Linked DNA regions of Lepisosteus oculatus. The main gene of each other region encodes a partner of the protein of the gene in region 3 in a complex. Links are inferred from orthologs where the notes say so. Each region holds a gene or a part of one and is shown on either strand. Other genes may lie near its edges.

Region 1 (6,934 bases), about 4.8 Mb from region 3:
TGACAAACTGAACTAAAGTGGTTATGATTTTTTTACTCTGTCTGAGGTAGAACAGTGACCTTGAAACCTGATGCTTGAAATATGCTATTTACTTGATAGCAAATATAATACTTTATATACTACCTAACCAGTATCACAGATACATGCAGGTGAAAATACTGTTGGATTAATACCTGGTCAAGACAGACCAAAGGCTATAATAAACAATACTGAAAGACATTAAGACAAATGCCAACATCTATTCAGAATTTATGTTTTATCAGTGTGTAAAAAATATTAAATTATTGTCAGACATATTACCTCAAACAGATTGGGATATATTGCAGACATCTTCAACACCTCAATGTGCATATAGGTGTACCAGTATTTGGCCTAATTAAGTCGATTTTAAGTGTTTATGTAGCTAAAAGGTTTTAAATTCTCAAATGTATTTTGATAAAAAGAACTATTTGTTTTACAGTGCAATTTTGGACCCATGCTTCATGCACCAGCACTAGCAAAGATGACAGTGGCCAGCAGCAGTGTTGAGGTGTGCTTACAATACATGCTGACACAGCTCACTGATCTTATTCATTCATAGTAAGCAACACAGAATTTTCCCATTTTGAACAGTGTTGTGTATCTTTACAGCCAACACCCATCTCCCTTTGTTTTTCTAAGGCAGGTCTCTGATGAGTTAAGAGGAAGGACATGACTAATCAAAGGAGAAAAATATGTTATTTCCTCAAAATGTACTTTCCCTTATTCACTAAAACGTACAGTTATTACTGTTTTGTCCTTGTCTTTTAGTCATTTCAGTAGTTCACTCAAAACCCTAAACACTGTTGAGAAGAGACATGATTCAAATAGTGAGTTTTTTTATTAATTTGCCTGGTTGAGGAGTGTGACAACCTGTCCATAAGGATGGGACTTTCAGACCCACCTCCTCCTTTTCATGAAGGATTATCCAGGGAGCTACTGCAAGGGTGAAGATGGGTTGGAGGAAGAGATGTGAAAACAAAATCTGCAAGCCAGTTATATATATAGATATTGGTCAGGTGGAAGTGGATGAGAATAGGTGCTGTTATAAAAAATCTACTAACTGTGGAAAAATATCTCCCTATCCCAGTGTATTACATGTTTAACTTTGCCATATTCAAAAATCAAACCAAGTGTTTTCCACAGTAAACAAGACCTTTAACTTTTCGCAACTTTGATTTTTTGTGAAACATTTTGGTCATTTGTTGTTGTTTTTTTTTTGGGGGGGGGGATATGTCACGGTTTGCCATGGAATGCACTGGGATAGGGCGATGTTCTTTTACAATCAGACACTCCAACTAGGTGTTTTACACACTAAACAGACCGGGGTAAAGTTAGCTTGAAGTTCAAAAACGATTTTGGCACACTTGTAGCTTTTTCACAAAACCTTCTAGAGTTGGGAGAACACTTTGAATGTTTTCACAGTCTTCATTTTGTCGTTTTGTTTGCCATTTTTTTTTACCATGCAGGAATATTCTTATGTTCATATCTTCGCAAGGGAAACACAGAAAGCCTTCAAACTATTTGCATTTTAAAGACCTCTACTTGTGAAACTTTTCACACCCCCTACATAAACATATCAGTTACCTAATTCTTTTTTTCTGACACTCAGGGACACTCTGGGTTTTCAATGATGTGCAATTACGCACCATCTGGAACACTGGGGGACCGCTGTATACATGCGTTCACAACCCGAGAAATACTGCTCTAGAGAGTTTCATGTGAAAAACCTGTACTGTATATCACCATAGGAAGCAGAACTGCACAGTCTCCAATTACCCAGACTGTAAGCACAGGAATAAAGCTTTGTTTTATTTCTGAAATCCTTTCTTTATTTCCTGTTTTCATTCAGCAGGAAAATTCCTAATCTTTACTCAACAGCTTTTTAAAAACAGCACCCATGATGTTCAAATAATAATGTCCATGACTTTTTTTACACAGAAGACTGACACAGCTTTGGGTTGTGAATCTCTTTTTCTCATGGTTTTATTGAATGTGGCACCCTGCACTGGGATAGGGGGTGCTGTTCACGAGCCAATAGCATTAAAACCACAGCACCCACAAAGCTGCAACTAAGTGTTTCACACACTAAGCAGATCCTCCGACCTTTCCCAGCTTTGTTTTGGGTTGTGAAACTTTTCTTTATTTCTTAATGATTTTTTGAAGATCACACTACAGGTAATACTTTTACACACTTTGAAGGTCCCCTCACCTTATACAACCTTGCTTTGGGATGTGAAACTTTTCTGAATTTTTTTTAGGATTTTTTCAATACGGCACCATTAGAGAGGCAGTACATGGGGATGGGGGTGCTCTTCACAAGTCAATAGCTTTTGCACAACCATACTCATTATACTGTAACCAAGGGTTTTACACACTAGGCATGCCCACTGACCCATTACAACCTTGCTTTGATATGTGAAGCCTTTCTTTCAGATACCTGGCTCTTTTTTCAGATACCTGGACATGTACATTTTGCAAACCCTGGTCTGATGAGGGTATGGTATGCACAATGTCACAGTGGTAGGTTTTGCAAGCAGGAAATGTAGTGATAGATTTGAAAGGAGCAAAGCATAGTTCAGTGGAAGGACTAAGTTTATCTGCAGGAGTATTGGTTCTGTAAACTAGGGACTAGGAATCCAACACCATACAGTACAAAAAGGAAACACAGAAGTGTTTATCGATAAATCTTTTTTTAATTGTTGTATTCCTTATTACATGCATGCACAACCATTGCAATGATAGAATCAGATGCAACAGATTTGATGATAAAATATGTATGCAATTCTGTGTTATATCCAGTCATATTAAAACAAAGGGGGGAAGACCATGTCTTCAGGGATGATGTTAAAGACGTTATTGTTTTGGCATGCTGGAGACAGAAATGTTTGGATTAATTAAAACAGAAAACCATTGTGAAAGTACTCCAAGGTGTGTTTCAGTTATACAGACAGAAAAAAATGTCCCTAGGCATAATTTGCTTGCTATAAATATGTTCCTAAAAAGGAATAAAAAAGCCTTTTGATTGGATACTTTGCCCTTGAGCTGTGAAGCTTTTAGATTCTTTGGGTCCTTTATGCAGATCTCTCAACTGTAGGAGCACCCATTATTAAATGATTAAAAAAAACTATGAGAAGGAATAAACTCACTGATTGTTTTATGTAGAGGCTGTGAAAAGTTTCACAAGTAGAGATCTTCAAAATGCGTTTGGTTTGAAGGCTTTCTGTGTTTCCCTTGCGAAGATATGGACGTAAGAGTATTCGTGCGTGATAAAAAAATGGCGTAAAAACGACATAGTGAAGGCTGTGAAAATGTGAAAATATTCACAATGTACTTTGTACACACAGCAAGTGTTTTCGTAACTACGTTTCGTGAAAACGCTACAGGCATGCCAAAATCATTTTCGAACTTCAAGCTAACTTTACGCGGTGCGCAATTGCATAAACTAACAGAATGCAATTACAGAAGGTATGAGTTGTAAAACAAAAAGTTGTAAAAAATTGACAATTCGAGATCTTTATGCTGGTGGCTTGAAGGCTCTGTATGTTGTAATCGCAATGTTATTGACATATGAAACTTCGTGTATCAAAAATAATCAGGCGTTTAACGATAAATGAATCTCTAGATCATTTTCCACTTCTGAACATCCTCTGGCTGGACAATACTAACGACAGCTATCTCGGAGAAATCCCTCTGAATCTACCTTTTTTACATCTTTACACATCTTACACGATAGAATACTCTGCCGTCCATTCATCATCAAAGTGACGGATACTACAGTATAGTCGGATATTTGAAGTTAGAGCTCATTTGGGTGTTGTCAAGCGAATGTAGGAAACTCCTCCTCCCTCCTAAAGGAATTTCCACCCTAACAGTGCCCACCAGCTTGTCCTGAATGTACTGTATTACTGAATCGGGAGAGAAAATACACAGATTCGAAAGGATGAACTGACGCTCATTCCGGGAAACACTTAAAATATTATACTTTTTATCCTTTTTTATCAATACTAAAGACAAGGTTTTACATTTCTGAAACAGGTTAATTATTGGAATATATGCGTGTAATGATTGCTTGCAGAAGGTAATTGCATCTTAATGCCGGGATTTCACCTCATTTGTGCTCGGAAATGTCATATTCATGTATTGTCATTACATTTATGGGATTTGTTTTTCAAGCACACTGGTTGACAGGTAAGAAATCCTTCGTTTCTGCTAAATATAGTGAAGTAACAGTTTAATCATTAAATATTACGTCATCTTCATAAGCCAAATACTAGATTGCACGCTAACTTTCTGAAGTGGGCTTTGGTGAAAACGCATGTACTGTAGTCATAAAACGAATTATAGAAATAATAAATGACGGTCAAATTCCTTTTGCAGGAGTTCATATATGCATAGAACGACAACAAAGTACTGAAGGTTTATAAAGACCCAGCAAATATATAACACATTCTTACATGTGTTATTACATCTTATTGTTATGAATGAAATTCGCTTGTAGAGTTTGGACAGTTCAAATGCTTATTATAAATGGAGGGGAAAAAAAGAAAATACTGCAAAATAACTGAATTTGAGACAATTTTCTTACCGTCACGTACTGAATGGGCAACCCTATTTTTTTATAATAAAAAACACAGCAACAGAAAATATATTATGTTTACTCTATTGTCCTGATCATTTTCTGAATGAAAAGTTATATTTGGTTGATACACACTTGCTTAATAATTGTTGCTTACTGTAACTGTAATTATTACAAACAAAATAATTTAAAGTAATAACTACAGCAAAATGTATTAGACATTGACGTATGCTTGTAACTATGAGTTTCTCTTTAGTTTTATCTGTGCTAGAAGTTGGTGATTACTATGCCTGGGAAAAAAAAACATTTTATAGTAAACAGCTTGCAGGACAAACTGCCCTGATTCTTACTTTTGGTGGAAAATTCCATGTGTGATCAATTTTAAAATTAAAATACACTTGGATTACATTCTTAATCCTTCAGCTGCAACTACCTTGCAGCTACAGGCTTTGGTAGAAACGAAATATCCAAATTTATTAGCAGCTGATATGAAAACAGATGACTTTATCTGTTAACTGAAAATCTATAGTAAGTGTTTCTTTTTCTGTCTAGAATCCTACTTCTGGACTGCAAGGCACTCTTGTATTAATATCAATTGATAGTACATACCAATTATTTAGATAGTATATAAATGTATGATATTGGTAGCACAGTATATAGACTATTAAATAAAGCTGACACTAGAAATATTAGGTCAGCAGAAAACATGCAAACGTATTCAGTGAAATGTTAAGTATTCCCTTAAGGATAAAAGCATCAGTTGAAGGTCTCCTTTCTCAATACACTATATCCTTTCCCCTGGTCTGTTTCACAGCAACACCAGAAAACAGGAACTCCACCTTAATTTCAGAAAATATAAAGCCATTGAGTTAACTGGAGGCCATCTGCCTGCTTTTCCTGTTTTGACAGAATTCTGACTTGCTGTTACACAAAAAATACAATGAACTGAACTTCACACAAATTATACAAAATTTGTAATTTTAAGTCTAGGTGAGATTTTATAAAGTTGAATGTTATCAATGGTATATTTTTTAAGTAAATGTCTTTAAAATATACATTGCATGTTGTAATGCTTCATTACTGTATGTAGCATTCACTTTCTGTGCAAAATAATTTAAAATGTTCTTCATATTCCTAACAGCACCTGTTGTATAATCACTTTTGTTTTCAGCAAGTACCTTGAAGTATATGCCTGATCCACCAAAACTTAGCATCTCAGATAAGGTATACAAAATAAATGCTACAGACACTTTGGAACTTACATGCAGGTAAGACACAGACTATACCAAGAATGGCTATTTAATGTAAAGAAATGTATCATACATTATTCTCATGATGTTTGGATTTAACAAATTGATTAATTTAAAATGTGTGATCAACTTTTTCAATCCATTTCAAAATACTTGGAAAGTTCTAGAATGGCCATTAACTCTGCAGATTTACTAGCAACATTCTACTCACTGAATCCTGCTGATGTTAGGATGACTTGGATAGCCTAGTGTTTGAGTACTTAACTGATCCAAAAACCACCTGCACATTTTATGTTTTATGATATGCTGCCGTATGGTACATTGATAAATAACTAATTCCTTAAAGTTTTAGAATTGTTTCTCATGTGTTGATTTTCCTTTATGCTTTTCAGGTTATCCTTAATTACTTAGTTATTAAATAATCCATCATTGGACTCCAAAAACACTTTTCAGATATGTCAATATTGATTATCAAATAGTTATGCAGTTCTTATTATTGGAGTTTAAATTAATCAACAGAGAAAATTAATAAATAAATTACAAATAATTCATCGAAGCATTGCTGCTTTGCATCACTGTGTCCCTGGGTTCAATTCCAGACCTGGGGTGCTGTCTGTGTGGAATATGTATGTTCTCTCCATGTTCACATGGGTTTCCTCCGAGTACTCCAGTTTCCTGGCAAGTTAATTGGCTTCTGGGAAAACTGGCTGTGTTGTGAGTGTGTGTATCTGTGTCTGTGTGTGCACTGTGATGGACTGGCATCCTGTCCAGTGTGTACCCCACCTTTCACAGTTGCTTTCTTAAATGGGCTCTGGCTCCCCTGCAACCCTAAATTCAAGAAAGAGGTTAGAATTCGGGTGGATGGATAATTTACCATCAATATTATTTAATCATCCAAATTGAACATGAAAATGTGCTTCAGGCATCAGTTATGAAGTTGAACCTTTTAGGGTTCCTTTTCAATTGCTTATGAAAGTTCTTCTTAGGTTTTACCTTTTTAGGTTTTGTGGTTTTATGAAAACAATAATGTGATTTTTTTAAAATAATGAAGTTAATTTTAAGTTGGCAGTTTACATACCACTGTCAC
Region 2 (8,049 bases), on a different chromosome or scaffold from region 3:
GTTTAAAAAAGAAACTGGAAATCTCATCATACGAGAATAGCATAACTTATATAACTCATCTTTAACTCATCAAAAAGTTACCATAATCCACAGTCACCCTTGACAATAGCATCAATATAGTGCAAGAATCTACAAGTTTTAATGCTACACTTCACATCTCATATTTCAGTGTTTCGAAGACAAATAGTAAAAATAAAGGCAAGTATTCCAAAATCCATGCAACTTCCTTTCCCAGAGGATCCCATTTAGAAATTGCTGGATATTTTTTGAGAAGAGTGAGGAGACTGTTTTATGTCTTGCCAAATGCCTTGAACAACAAAATCCTTTTTTCAAAAAGGAAGCCAAGCAGCAGAGTTTTTAAGTGAAAAGGGAAAATGTTCTTCTTTCGATGGTAACTCCGCACAAAGACAATAAAAGCTTCAATAATCTTCTTGTAGAGTTGATATAGGCAAATACTAATAAAACAAATATTGTTTTTATGTGTTGTTGTCTTACAAATGTTAGGTTGCTCACAAATTTGCTGAGGTAACTATAGGATACGTCGCATGAGCTCAGTTGCGTTACTTCTATACAAATGACATAAGGCGAATGTCCCTGTATAACATTTAAGTGAATGTAAACTCTGCAAATGAGGCAGAAGCCACCATGTCGTCTTATGACCAGAACAAGGAAACAATATTTGCATTATGTAAAAAACTTAATTAATCCATTGCATCTCCCTAACAAATGAAACCGGTATCATCAAGGATATGGAGACTTCTGGGTAATTTCCACAAAGTAGTCTGACTGTCAGCTTACAAGGTATAAGCGATACTCAGTTATTAAAAAAACAAGAGTAAAACATAGGATTCGATTTCCATCTGAATGAGTGAGTGGCCTATTTAAAATGCGTGGCTGTTCTCTTTCAACTTTGACAGGTTTCACCGTTCAAAACCAATCAACTTGAGGAAAGCATACAATGCACTTATTAAAACTGTGATACAACACATCCTGTGCTTGTGAAATTCTTTGGCCGCACGTGAAAACTTCTCCAAACTCTCATCTATTATTCATCCACTGAGACTGCGCTGCGCTGTCTAAAATTACTCGGACTCGGTTTTGCAACTGCTCTGAAACGTCTGCCAGTTCGTACATGGAGCCATTTCACAAGTCATTGTAAACACTTTGATTAAACTAAAAATACGTAAAATGCAGGTTTCAAGTGGAGCGGCCTTGTTATTGTCATGAGACAAAAATACATTTTGAACCAAAAATGTAAAAGTCTTTGGATTACACTACATCACATCTAAATGAGGAGCATGGGGATTTGTATACCATGTAGTTTCACATCATACTCAAAGTTTTGTAGCATCTGAAAATGAAAATCCCGTTATAAGCATCCCTCAGGTCGGATGCTATAGAAGTTGCTGTGGCCTGACGGTATGACAACATAGGGTCTCCCCCTAGCGGTTGGTAATACTACTGCATGTGAAATTGTAAGGCGTTGTCTGCGTTCTCTGATCAATTAATCGTTTTCCTTGGATCATCAAGGTAGTGGCGCGGATCCCAGATACTGTCACTTCAGCTGATATTTAAGTTACTCCTCCTGTACTCTTTTGGAGATGAATAGCTGCAGCTCCGTATTATTAATGTAACTGTCGGATCATTAACCTACACTTATGTAGCTATTATTTTTTTCATGATATATCATTGTAACACTATCAGTTTAGTGAATAATATACTTTTTGAGAACTGTTCAAAAACGAATAGTCTGACACAATTGAAAGTTATTCTTTCGTACTATTTCATACAGTAACGTTACGCATCATCACAGAAGATTCTCTTCTGTCGCAGAGATTTTAAAGACGTTTCAACTCTACAGTAGTATTCCTCCTCTATAATTATTTTTGTAATCGGAATGTTCAGAGTTTTTAACGCTTATCCTCGTTGTTTATTTTTACTTAAACCTGCGACTTTCGATAATTTTACATTATTTAGTAAACCGTAATGTACTGTTACAAAGGCCCACGAAAACAGCTCGTATTTCTGACGCGAACAACCTGTTTCAACCTGTCAAATACATTCCGTGCAAAATGTAGCGTAATCGAGGGCTGTTTACTACGCGAAATATGGGAAAATACCTTTACAAGCATCACTTTATTTGCGGAGACAGGTCTGTTAGTTCCATAAGCCTATTGAATTTATATCGAGTGAATAAGTGAATTCCATTCATAGCCAAAGAAATTAGTTATATGAACAGTTTCAATATTGATTGATTTGAAAAAAAAATGTATAGAGTTCCGAAATATTAATTACGATTCTTTCTTTGTATTTCACGTGTATTAGGGAAGAGACCTATTTATGACTTGGACCCATCATAATTGCCGGTCTGTTCCATTAACCAACCAAACCACAACAAAGCTCCCGAAGATACAACATCTACCTTATATTCAATTTATACATAGAATAAATGAATGAGATTATAAATCCCACACATACACAAAGTCGACAGCTTTCTTTGGCAGGGCTTCTGTGCATTTTCTTTGAAAACTAACTTGTGCATTGCAAACACATTTTCTCTCACATCCCTGTAAAAAAAAACTTCGACAGTTGGTATAATAACAGATTAATTATAACGCAGAAACAGCTGAAAGTTTAGGGTGTTACAAATGAGGAATGACCGAAAAGAGGGTACTCCTACCTGATACACAAGCGATCCCAATCCAAATCCGGCAGAAAATAGTAAAATCTCTCTTCATTTCCAGATTTCCAGTCCTCGGATGTTTAGATCTAACGAATTAAAAAATAAAAACCCAGTTGTTCCTTTTTTATCTGTGAAATCAAAAAGGAGAAAGGGGTGAGAGAGAAGTCTCTGTCCGCGGTCACAGCAAGTCTCAGGTGAGCTTCAGCAAAGCTGCTCTGTCCTCACTGCGCGACAGGGAGGATGTCTAAAAAGTCAGGGAAGAGAAAAGGCGCTTTTCCTGTTAAAAGGAAATGTTTTTTTTAAAGATCAGAATGGATTTACAATGATTTCCTTTTCCCCCTTCTTTTAGCGCTCGCGACTGAGGCACCACATCCACCGTTAACTTTCACAAAAATACAGAAATGGTTTTGGCGACTGTTCTCCATGATAAACCCCCTCCTCACTTCAGTAAAAAGCGAAAATCCCTCCTCCACTCTGTAACACCAGCGCCAACATAACAACGAAGAAGACAAGTGTCCGAATAATTCTGATGTACATTTAATTGTTCTAGCATCTGACATCTGGAAAAATAAAACTTTCAAGTATTGTTTTCTCTGTGTTAGGAGAAAACAGTCAAACGTTTGAGACAGAAAACTGTTAAACTCTTTAGGAAGTTAAATCGAGTATACCTCCGTGTCTTTAAATGATCTTTACGCTTCAATCTGTTTAAAACCAATTGGAATGAAACATCGGTGATAAGAGTGATAAAGCTGAAGAAAACGTTTCTAAAAGAACAATTTCAAATACCTCATGAAGGAAAATCAACACTGTAAATTGTGCTTTGGTGTTTTTGTACTACGGCAGGTCTCCCACGAAACATCACCTACTAATTTCTTTTGAACCGCTTACAGAAATTAACCCCGCTATGCCGACTCCCATACCTCAGTGTGTTTTACTTTGGTTTGCCAGTGAGCATACGACCAATGCCTAGAGTACAGAATTTTCCAAAATAGTATTTTCTTTATATCATTGTTATATCTCATCTCCTTCTTCTAGTCAGAGCTTTGAGATTTTTAAAATGTGCTTATAAACAAAGTATAGTGTAACGCAACGGGGGCTCAGGCGGGCGCCCTTGCCGCATTAGGTCGGCCCCTGCACCGTCCGGGGCTCGAACCCGGGACTTCCGCGTCTCTCTGCAGCGACCTAGCCCCGTGAGCTAAAGAGAGATCTCTCCACAGCCCAGTAGCTGTGGTCCTGCTATCACAGGGAAGGGCAGTGACGTCACCCGCTCTGGTACGCCGGCTCTTACACAGTGCCTGTCGGCCGTAAGCGTTACACTCTGGTGTCAGAAGTGGGATGGGATAGCCCTTCGCCGGGGACGGCGATTTAAGCGGGGGAGAGTGTAACGCTTACGGCCGACAGGCACTGTGTAAGAGCCGGCGTACCAGAGCGGGTGACGTCACCGCCCTTCCCTGTGATAGCAGGACCACAGCTACTGGGCTGTGGAGAGATCTCTCTTTAGCTCACGGGGCTAGGTCGCTGCAGAGAGACGCGGAAGTCCCGGGTTCGAGCCCCGGACGGTGCAGGGGCCGACCTAATGCGGCAAGGGCGCCCGCCTGAGCCCCCGTTGCGTTACAATAGTATTCGCAACATATCTCCTACAAGAAAATGTAGCCACAAATGAAAAAAAATGCAGTCCTTGCCCCTGTCATTAGATCACAAACACCACAGCTACAAATAAGCGATACCAGTTGGAAAAAAAGCGAGGAGATTATTCAGATTCATGCAATATATCAGCATTCAAATTAAATTAACATCTACCAAGGCTTTGTAATGACATACACCACAGAACATGTTGCGTGAACTGGCTTTTAATATCGATTTGGCTGATGCTTTTATAAGACGCACTTTGCAGTTGGAATCACTGACAGAGTTGGCCATTTTGACAGACCAATTCAAGGTAAGTGTCTTGCTCAAGGGTGCAACAGCAGTATCCCACCTGAGGTCCAAACCAACAACCTCCCAGTGACAAGTCCAGAACCCTGACCGCTGCTCCACACCACAGACTCCATGGGCTTTGATATCTGAGCACAATGTTTCCTTTTCGACTATTTAGGCCTTAAACAATATCGTAAAAACCTGCAAAACTTAAGGCACAGTAAGCTTGTACTCCAAACCAGACAGGAAAATCCTGAATATTAGATGGACTAAGGAAATGTCTAAATTTTATCAGTACCGCCATTGCCCTGCATACGTTCCTGATTGCTGCACCCCTGCTTAGCAATTTTTAATGGTTGTGATCCCCATTCACAAACCTTTGGTGGTGTGGGAGAGTATGTAAGGGGAAAAACAAACCAATACAAGTACTAAGTGTGAAGCATCGCCTTCATGTGCTTCACAGACATTTGTATAAATCCTAAAGATACAAGAATGATGCAAGTGATTAACTCTTCCTAAGGGAAAGTCACTACAGATGTGCATTTACATTTTTAATTACTGAGAAACAGGGATAAAATCTGGTATTCAGTTCCACCGTATGTTGTACATTTGCAACAAGTGATGTAAAGAGATGTTCAGTATTTTTCTACTCTCAAGCCCCATCTTCATAGACTGCAAAAGCCATCAGAATTAAAACCATGTGCTCCCTACAGACTCATATTAAGTAAGTCCTTTGTGAATTCATATCACTCTGAATTTATACTAAAAAAATAATAGAGGCTGGGTAATCAAAAGCCACCGGGAAGAAAAAAATGCTTAACTTTGGATATTTTCAAAGCTCCATTTCAGGAATTTGACAATCGGCACCCCACTAAGTTATCGCAAAGCTCTGTATCATGTTTTCCCAGAGAAGACTCCCTGTGCTTGTGTTTTATTTGGCCATGGCATCATCTATCAATAAAGCTGTTATTGTGGGCAGAGCATTCTATAGCATGGTCCTGCTGAGAACTCTTCTTCATGAGCCCACATTCAGCACAGGCAGAGGAACTCCAGCCTAATGCATTACCTTAAATTGATTCCTCCTGAAGAACTCCAAATCTCTTCACACAGAGTTCATTGTTATCTTTGTACTGTTTATATCAACAGCTGTCACAAAGCTATTACAAAACCTGAAATATTCTGATACTCCCCACCTTGGAAATAGCCTCAGGACTGAATATTGAATGACAGAGTGCTGAAGTTTGTGTGCATTGCTCAGTGGCATCAAAAACTAAGAATGTGTGTGGAGGTTCCCAAAAGGTTGATTAAGTGCACCCTTCACAATATAGAAATAGCCACTGGAGTTAACAAAAAGAGACATGTTAGTTATCAACAAGTCTTGTGAGGACATGACATCTGCTTAAGATGAGAGAGATCTGAACAATGCCATTGAGCCCTGAAAGGAAGTTACATTGTGCAAAGAAAGTGCATTCTTCAGCAGGAATGTAAAGAAAAATATTGAAATAAGAATGTTTTTCTATTATTTTAAGCAGTGAGGAATATTTTACATTGCGCCTCAAGGCACCCATACCTCAGACCTTCCACACAATGTTTGCATTGAACAGTTGTAATTAAAAATTGTTCCTTTGGATTTCAGGTCCACAACTCTTGGCAAGGATCCTTGACAATAAAAGGCATTCCTTTCTGGCAAGTTAACCCCCTGTTCAAGACTCGCGATTGCTAGCATGCTGACATCTTCACTGAGTACATAAATGCCTGGCCAGACCCTGCTGATTCAACCCAGACAGAGCCAGAGGTTGCTGAAGATCACAGAGTGACCCCAGAGCTCATACATCAACTTTTATGTATAAAATGTCCCTGTGATTCAAACCAATTGTAAACGTGAAGATGTCAGTTAAAGGGATTACAAACAGCCCAGCACTCTATAAAGATCAACTGTCTAATACAAAATGGAAGGAAGAGTGTTAATGAAGGTCATCTCCTCTTACCTCTCAAATGGATTCCAAACAAGACAGCAGCCTGAGACGCTCTTCAATGCATGAAAAGCACAAAACTCCCTCACAGTACTCATCTACCACCTCCAAACGAAAAACAAGACTCATTTTCAGCCATTCAGAAATTAATAATATTTTTCAAGGTTTGAAAAGAGAGGGGTACAAACTTGTGTGGGACCGGTCCTTTGTTTAAAACTCTAATCACATTTTTTTGTCTCTGTGGTGTGGAATTTCTGAATTCGGCATCAGCTGAACATTGCCTTTTAACTGACAGTCTGAGAACAGAAGAATGCATATCTGAATAATGGAATGGCTTACCCTTGCAAGCAAAGTATATAAAGTATATATGTATAACTGGAACTAATAATTTGATTAACTCGGAATTTTTCATTGTTTATAGCTTAAACGGTGTTGTATATTTTAAACTGTCAAGTTTTGTAAGCGCCCTGAAATCTATTCTCTTTATGGAAAATGAAAGCATTAGACGTCAAATACTGCTATGCATATTCATGTCGTGCTCAGACTTTTGTGGTTACTTTCCCTAAGTAGGTCTGTGTCCCGAGCAATGATACACAGATTGTTGTCACAATCTGATTTAACAGGACAAGGCAACAGGTAATGGTCATGGTATCCTGGAGCTTTTCCTGCAATCACAGGGTACAAAGCACCAGCACATCCTGGATGAGATGCCCGTTCATGTCATGTGCATACAAACATGCCCAGGAGTAATTTAGAGACATCACTTAATTTAACAGGACCACTGGGTAACAGATCGAGTTGTTTTATGAGGTCAAAACACAGAAAATTTGCAAGACTGATCAAAACCAAAGCAGAAGGGAATAGATAATATATTGATGGTATTCTTCTGCTGTGAACAGTAACATACCTTTGAGCACAGCACAAAAAATAACTGATTGACAAAGGGCAGAAATGCCCCTGAGGAAGATGCTGTTTTTTGGCAAAATGATAACTGGGACTCGCCATCACGCAGAGCATTTCATTGCTGTTCCACAATCAAGTGAACAACAGAGAAAAGAAAAATCAGCAGGGAATGCCAATTAATGCGTATCAGTTTCCAGATAAAAGAGCTTCGGCACAGGACCGTAACTCCTGCGACACTTTTAAAGATAGAGGCTCCATCCTGGGCAGCGTGTCTGACTGGGGCTCGGTAATGTGTTTCCTGACCCTGGGACCTCATGAATGGAAAGAACTGGTTTCAAGGCTCTGTCCTTGAGTGGACACCCTGGGGGGGACTCTTGAGAAGGAAATTGTAGCCTTTCAAGTGCCAGCTAGGAGAAAATAATAATAATAATAATGAAAGAAAAAAATCTTGCTTCCTTTTACAATTTTTTTCACCCCTAATTGCCAAGTGGATGTCCTAATGTTGTATGATATCTTCCGCAAGAGAGCATCCCATTTCCTCAGTGACGAACAGGAGGCAGTCACACCTGGCTG
Region 3 (7,784 bases):
CAATGTCTAGATAGCTTTCTCGTAAGAGAACACCCAATTTCATCTAAGCTGTCATTTGTGAACAGAACTCTGGCATGCTTGAATACCTATCTTATAGTACAGATCTGTTTCTAAGAAATTATTATCTGCTTTGAACTCTGAGAGCTCTCCTTCATGGTTTGCAGATGACGAAAGCACAAAGTGTTCCACAGAGGCCTAGTTCAAGGGGTAATATTAAAGGACCCCATTGGTTGGCATATACAGTTTTAAGGACACCTAAGCCAAGTGCATTGAGGTCAAAGGAGACTAAACTGAAAATTGATATGTCTGTGAAACATTTTAGGGCTCTCTGTTCTATGAACTTCTTGACCCAGACTCTCATGATGAGCTCATGTACAATAAAATAAAACAAACTGCCCAGACACCACTCACTCCCATAGCTCTTTCACTGTTACATTTTAGTCTAAGTAGTCTCAGTCTACTAAGATTACAGAAGTCAAAACTGGAGAATGTTTCCTTTTTGCATCATAATACTGTATACCCGTGAGTCAATTCCCCACAAAGAAGTGTAACAGCACTGTTGCTTTTTAAGCATATACTGTACTTTTGGCCTGATGCTTTAATGGATTCTCCTCTGTTATTATTGCATGTATTGCCCTTTGTTGTCTTCTACATCTGTTACTGCCCAGTGCAATGGACACTAAAAACTAAGTTTTGAATGTTAAAACACCAAAAAATACTTACACACTGTTCTAACGAATAACAAAGAAACCCAAATAATGTTTCCTCAATGATCCAGATGAAACCATTCCATAATTAAGTGTACTATACAGTAGAAGCCATCTTTCTAAGATGAGCATGTGCTACTAAATTAAAAAGGCCAAACATTATAAACTTTTACTCCCTTTGATAAATACAGCAAAATCAGTACGACTTCTACTGCACGAAAAAAGTGTCAATAAGTCTCAACCCCTACTGATCAGGCAGGACCTCACTGTAATCTAAGCAGACATCTGCACCATCATGGCGCCCCCTTGTACCACATTGAGTAACTGCTTTATGTTTATCTTCATAAGAGGGCTACAAGAAGCATCATCCTGTTTCCCCTCAAGGATTGTTTTATCCAAGAACTAAGCAGGACTAGCCTTTCACAGATTCAGAGACCTGAAACATAAAGCTAATATATCAATGTACAAGTCTTCAGGGGTTTCTGATAGGAACCAGTTTGATTGCAATGTGGAAAGTTTAATGTACGGTATCTCGAGCAGTAGTGGGTTTATTAGTTCCAGAATTAAGTTCTTAATTCGACCAACTGTATGTTAAAAAGAGTAACTCATACTGTATACTGTCTCCACGCTTTAAGAGGGTAAAAACAACTTGCAAGATTTGGTGCTGCCTACCACTAATTCTGAGATCCCAAACATGATTTGTCCTTAAATCCATCTTGATTTAACATGAGATCTTACACTGCAACCATAAGAAATTCTACATCTGTATTCTGTATTGAGATGGAGGGACAGAAAAGCCAAACTTCTCACAGAATCTCACCATTGACATGCAGTAATATTTAACAACGTGCTGTTGAGGCTCATTCCCTTATCATTTGTCTTAAATTGGCAAAGTTTGGTATGAAGCAGCAATCTAGAAGAGAGCTATTTTTTAAATTGAACTCACAAACCTAAATACGTACAGAAACGCAGTAAAAGTGTGAACAGATGACGACATATACAGTACAGTAAGTAATCGAACAGAAACAGCACCGCATTTTGACTCTGATTAAGCTGCTAAAATGTCTATAATTACTGAGCAATATCTCGAATATTTAAACACAATCTGAGTACGAACATGGGAAAACGTATAGCTTAATATAATTTAAGATATCTTAAAGGAAACTATGATACGCATATCACACTAAACAGCCACATGTCACAAATTCCTTCTTAAGATTTTTTCCCCCAAAACAGCACACCCACGCATTCGAGTTTTGACCTGCTGACACCTGCCTCTCCACCCCTTTTATCCGGCTTCTTCAAAACTTTCGCTGCCTTTCATCGGCTCCCTCTGACTTAACATTGTTACCCGGTGAACACCACACCACGCAAATCCGATCTAGGATGATTTTACAGGTATGAACAGATGCGTTGCTCATTCACAGACTGATGAGACATTTCTCATTAAGAAAAGAGTAATCAGTGTGCATCGTACACCGGATTACCAAAAACAAAACGTTATATAATAATATTCTGAGTATATACAGTAATACCCAGAGTTGTACTTTCACCGCAAATTTGAAGCATCAGGAACATCATGCCACCGAGTGAAGTCTCCGCAAACCAAATGTCGAAATAGTCTACCAGGTGGTAAATACCTTCGTAATCTTTTTAGTCTGTTCCCTTTTTGGCAGTGTTGCAGCATCTGGTAAACTTTCACACACCGAAATTACCATCCGATAATGCTAACGAATGTTTCCACGTTTTGTGGAAAAGGGCAAACTGCAATAAACGCTTACCTTCGTATCTCCTTGATCTTGATCATAGTCGTAATAATCATGACCTGATTCAAAAGCGAAGTCTCTGTAAAGAAACACTGCATAGACGAGAAAAAGAGATAATCCAAGTAGGTGCATTTTACACTATCTCAGCAATCCCGAGACCAAAAGCAGTCGCAATATTTCCTTTCAAAAAGTTTAATCGGTCTTGGTATCTTGTAGTCGCTCAAGCGCAGTTTCAGACTTTCTTCGACCCAAATTAAAATGCATGGGGGTATCCGAGTTTCCTACGGCTGACAATCATTTAAAAATTCAGAAACGCATCAATATCAGTTGACTCGGTGGAATCGCTTGCGAAAAGGAAGGCAAATTTAGGAGGAGATCTTTTCACGTGTTGTCTGGTACGAAACTTGCACAAGACCAGTAGACATCCAGTTTAAGACCCAGAGAGGAGAGAATGGCATGTTTAATGCAATTTAACGGTGGCCCTCTTTCCCTTTCTCCTTCTCCTCCCCCTGGTTTTTCGGATCTGGTCTAGTCGGGATTGCAGCTAGAAGCTGATATGCTAGTATTTATACAAAGCAGGAGGTTTGAGAAAGAAATATGAGTTGGGACACGTGCGCCTTCTCCAGGAGACCTCTTACACAAGCCCCATGCGGTTTCTGAAAATATGAAACGCCGATGCATGTACAGATGTATTTTCAGACAGTTAGAAACTTTGTTCATGTGGATTTTCTAGTAAAACCCCGTTTCAAGAACCAAAGGAATCAAAATATCAATGTCAAGATTGTTTGTCACCATGTGGCTCCTTTAGTTGTTACATGTATTTTTATCAGTGACTGCCCTTAAGCATGTAATAATAATAATAATAATAATAATTATTATTATTATTATTATTATTATTATTATTAGTATTATTATCAACATTATTATAAATAAGCATAATACTAATAATGTGTGTTGTAAATAGTTTATTATATTTTTGTATTATGGGAAATATTGTAACGCACAAATGTGAGCGTTTCTCTACAGCTAAACTGAAATAAATGCTGTCGGAGCTCATTTTTAACAAATGTGAAATTCAAACCATATAGCATCCCACTTTTGATTATTCAGCATAAAACCGTGTCAGCGGGAGGATATTTTTATGAGAAAGGCTAACTGCACAGAAACACGAATTTATTCACTGAAAATCAGTCTGCCTTTTAATAGAAACATATTTGTTTTGTTTAAAAATATCCTTAATTAAAACAGTTAACAGTTTTATTCGCTCCATCTCACCAACAATAGCATAACCATTGTACAACTTTAACTGTGGGACGCTTAGTTGAAAAAAGAGGCTCCACTGTCCAAAATTTCAAGCATTTATCTCCTCATGGTGTGCCTTTTGGTCGCTAATAATAATAATAATAATAATAATAATAATAATAATAATAATAATTATTATTATTATTATTATTATTATTATTATTATTATTATTATTATTATTATTATTATTAGACACAGATGCTCAGCCATTGTTCCAGTGACCCACAGACAAGGAAATAATATAGACAGCTCACACTGTGGGAGGTCTCTACATTTCTGAGATCAATGGCTTGTAGTGGCAGTGTTTTGTAGTATTCCGAAAAAAGACTTCAGTATTCAGAAAAAAGACTTCAGTGTTCAGAAAAAATACTATCCAGTGGTTACACTGATTTGATAAAACTGCAATAAAACGAAAATAACTTATGCTAATTTCTTATTTTTCAAATACGGTTAGTTACCATAGTAAACTTAGTAGAATGCAATGGATGATAAAACATTATCATCTCTTTAATATACTGTACATTACCTCCCCAGGTAACATACTGTACTTTACATGTAGATTCCAATAGCTTCAAAAGCTATCAAAAGAAAAACATTTTTATATATAGACAGAGAGAGAACAAGAAAATGAAGCAATGTAAGTAAGTTATCATCTCTCCTAGATAGCATTTAAGGGAAATATTGATACACCCAAGTACTGCAAGTATTGGTGCTGTAGCTACAGTGTGCGTATCACACAAATAAAAAAAGGGGGGGACAATCAGAAATGAAGAAATGCTATTATCTCATCTGTGACAAGTCACACAGATGGAAAACCCCTAATTTAAATTAGAAAAATAATTAAGTCTCCTGATAACTGACTGTCTTCTCCATCATAAGTTACTAGATATTGAAGAGATACAGGAGGATGGAAATGTAGATTGGAGGCAACACACATATGCATTTACAGGTGATGTGGACTGGATTGATAAACAGATCAACAGAAAGGAATATTAATGCTTAATGTTGTGTTATAATAATACCTAGAGCAGGTGTTCCCACGGCCCGTCCTGGAGATCTCTGTGTCTGCTGCTTTTCATTCCAGCCGAGATCTGCTGATTTAGATTCTCGGTTTCCTGTTTCTGCACCTAGAAATATTCTATGCAAAGTATTATTCCACCAAATTCAATATACAGAACTTAATTCAGCCTTGTTCCCAATGTGTGTATTAAGAAGTGGCTCCCTTTTTTCTGCCGAAACTAGTGATCAATTCACGATGAGCAGACACAGATGGGGAAATTTGAATGTGTCAGACACTCCCTCAGTGAGTGGTTTCTCTTTTGCTGTGGTCTAGTGGGTTAAATATTAGCTGAAAAACCTGAATGAGATAAGTTCTGAAACTCAGAAATTGGTACAGGGTTCATACCAGTCACAGTGACATTTGATTGAAGAGATAAAAGCAAATTATAACATTCCTTGAACTGAAAACTGAAACCAATTAGTTTTCGATTAAAAATTCCTGAAAAAACAGAAGGCCCAGGACCAGAATAGGGAGCCAGAGACCTTGAAGATCTTCAATTGTGATTGCAGAAAGCAATCTTGTTACATTTTCCTTTGGGAAGGTACAGTAAGTTTTAGCCTAAACTGTAGAGATACTGTACATCAAGAATTTCAAACATTTATTAATTAAAAAGTGATTAAAGTGTATGAAAAGTATTGATTATATATAATGTGTAACTGTAAAAAATTATAAAATATGTTTTGTTGCAAAATGTTCAGATTTATTCGTATAACCTTCACATTTCCTGTAAATGTGTTGAAAATAAATGCTGTTAATTTGATTCTCTTATGTGTGCAGCCAATAGCTTCACGAAACCTCAGATATTTCTGGGCTTCTCCTTGATTGTTTCCATGGAAGCTAAACACTGAAGTAAAACTCAGCACCATGTCATCATGGAGAAAGTCAGATATTGTTCAAAGATCAAAGGTAAAAGGTTATGAAGCTCAGTAACTTACAGTATGTGACAGGAAAATCCATAGTCCACTGCAGGAAATCCATCAGACATGCCATTTTCACCTATTGTGTCCATCTTTATACTGTAAAGTTCAAGGCTAATCCACCAAAAGGATGTTTTAAATTGTTATGTGCATTAAAAAGAAGTAGTTTGGGATGCTTACTCCCACCTATAATAAGTAACCATTAGAGATCCTCAAAAAAACTTCTAAATAAAACTTAGATTTTACGGCTTTGAGTAGCATAAAACAACAAAAAATGCATTATGTCAAACAGCTCCAATCTCAAATGAGACCACATGATGTGGTTGGATGAAACACAATTTGACTTTCTGAACAGTTTCATCTAGTATATTAAATAAGAACACCATTCCTTCTGTGAATAATAGACAAGGATCTGTTCTTCTTTTGAGTTGTTTTGAGTCCTCTGGCCCTGGTGTCCTAGATAGAGCTGAGGACTTAAAAAGTTCCCAATGTTTGTGAGAATATTTTAGCTTGCATCATACAACAATAAACAGACCATTACAGGAGCAAGTCTGATAAGGGTAGCCAAAGACAGAAGTTCTCTTAGAACATCCTTCATCTGATAATGAATCGTACTGATGAAGATACAAAGAAAAGTTATTTAAATGATTTCCTGTTTGAAACTACTATTGGACATTTGAGGAGAACTTTAGGGGTTATTTCGGGCACCTCTGAAAAAATAATAATTTATTTCTTGGCTAAATAAACTTTGATTCAAGGTTTTACATTTTCAGACTGACGTTGTGCATGTTTTTTTTTTAGAGGGAATAAATTTAAGCAATTTGGTATTTGTGATAAAATAACACTCCTTTTTGTTAACTCGTCAACTATTATGAATACTTTTGGTATCATGGAAAGCCCTAACATACTCCATTATTCAATAATTGGACTGTAGAAAACATCCACTTACAGTAAAAAATCACACATGATTCTGGTTGGAACACTTGGTTTTCAGGATAGAACTGAATCCACTAGAATATACTATTCTTGAGCTGGTTGTCTGGCGGCCCTCATATTTTTTGGGTCTGTTTTTTTTTAAATTATTATTAAAGCTTTGAAAACCACATTACCTTGTCTTGTTATTATTTTTATTTTTCAATAGAAAAGCTCCCAGCTAGGCTGCCATCCCCTCAGCTAGTCCAGCCACGCCAACTAAGACCTACATACTCCATCCCTCTGCTGCCTTCATTAGGATCTAGCTGCACCACTGAAAAATAATATTCACTCGCAGTGGAAATCTTCACGGGAAACACATGCACGGTACTGCAAAATAATTATGGAAATATAAAATAAGGAATGAAGTGCAAGTTACTGTATACTGAACATACTTGAATCTCACCTCTTGCCCAGCCTTTTTGGCATGTTGGGTTTCTCCCTTGTCTGGCTGTGCAGCTTGGACACTGGACACCTGAGGAGGGTTTAGATCTGGAGCCGGACTGCATGGCGGAGTGTATAAGTACAGGTGATAATGATGCTTCTACTTGCGACCAGGTTGTTAGACATTCCAGTAGATCATCTCTTATCATGTAGATGGACATCCAAGCATGGGGTACTTAAAATCAGTTCTGGGGAGGACTGGCTTTCCGTTCCAACCACCAATACAATTCCAGTTTTGTAAGGCCCCGTCATCGTCTTTCAACCATTCTTACAGTTCCAGGCTTGTAAATCTTGAGGGCAAGATACAAACAAAAGTAGGCCATTTGGCCCCTCTATTCGGTTTTTCTAAGTCACTGTCACTCTTGCTGGCACACACAGACAGGCTGAAATCTGTGACTTGGATAACAAGCTCGGGCTCTTTCTTAGTGCTTGCTGATCACATGACAGCCAGTCACAGCACACTATATCATTACATGACAGCACGATGGCGCATTATAAGTGGGAAGAAATGGGGATCTGCCATTAATACCCAATAGGTTCCTAAGATAGGAATCAGAATCCCTCCAGTCTTTGTGGAGTCGCATGACTTGAACTGACCGTGAAGGAGAGGGGCAC

The links.
Region 1: the proteins of vegfc (region 3) and kdr are in contact, whole or in part, in a crystal structure (PDB 2X1W), measured with the Homo sapiens proteins. The link is inferred for Lepisosteus oculatus from reciprocal best matches to the Homo sapiens genes VEGFC and KDR. Residues at the interface, in NP_005420.1 of Homo sapiens: Thr148, Asn149, Phe151, Lys153, Phe186, Ile188, Val190, Pro191, Leu192, Gln194, Pro196; in NP_002244.1 of Homo sapiens: Val135, Tyr137, Ile215, Val216, Val217, Val218, Asn253, Val254, Gly255, Ile256, Asp257, Phe258, Asn274, Arg275, Asp276, Phe288, Leu289, Ser310, Ser311, Gly312.
Region 2: the proteins of vegfc (region 3) and flt4 are in contact, whole or in part, in a crystal structure (PDB 4BSK), measured with the Homo sapiens proteins. The link is inferred for Lepisosteus oculatus from reciprocal best matches to the Homo sapiens genes VEGFC and FLT4. Residues at the interface, in NP_005420.1 of Homo sapiens: Leu119, Asp123, Trp126, Gln130, Asn167, Arg210; in NP_891555.2 of Homo sapiens: Gln172, His199, Asp200, Ala201, Leu202, Tyr203.

The regions. Positions count from the first base shown.
Region 1 is NC_090696.1:78,665,763-78,672,696, reverse strand, and holds the start of kdr (vascular endothelial growth factor receptor 2), read left to right. Parts: upstream 1-3,905; 5' UTR 3,906-4,145; coding exon 4,146-4,209; intron 4,210-5,768; coding exon 5,769-5,865; intron 5,866-6,934. UniProt on the Homo sapiens protein: Tyrosine-protein kinase that acts as a cell-surface receptor for VEGFA, VEGFC and VEGFD. Plays an essential role in the regulation of angiogenesis, vascular development, vascular permeability, and embryonic hematopoiesis.
Region 2 is NC_090706.1:38,157,552-38,165,600, reverse strand, and holds the start of flt4 (vascular endothelial growth factor receptor 3), read right to left. Parts: upstream 3,086-8,049; 5' UTR 2,739-3,085; coding exon 2,681-2,738; intron 1-2,680. UniProt on the Homo sapiens protein: Tyrosine-protein kinase that acts as a cell-surface receptor for VEGFC and VEGFD, and plays an essential role in adult lymphangiogenesis and in the development of the vascular network and the cardiovascular system during embryonic development.
Region 3 is NC_090696.1:73,855,833-73,863,616, forward strand, and holds the start of vegfc (vascular endothelial growth factor C), read right to left. Parts: upstream 3,075-7,784; 5' UTR 2,606-3,074; coding exon 2,489-2,605; intron 1-2,488. UniProt on the Homo sapiens protein: Growth factor active in angiogenesis, and endothelial cell growth, stimulating their proliferation and migration and also has effects on the permeability of blood vessels.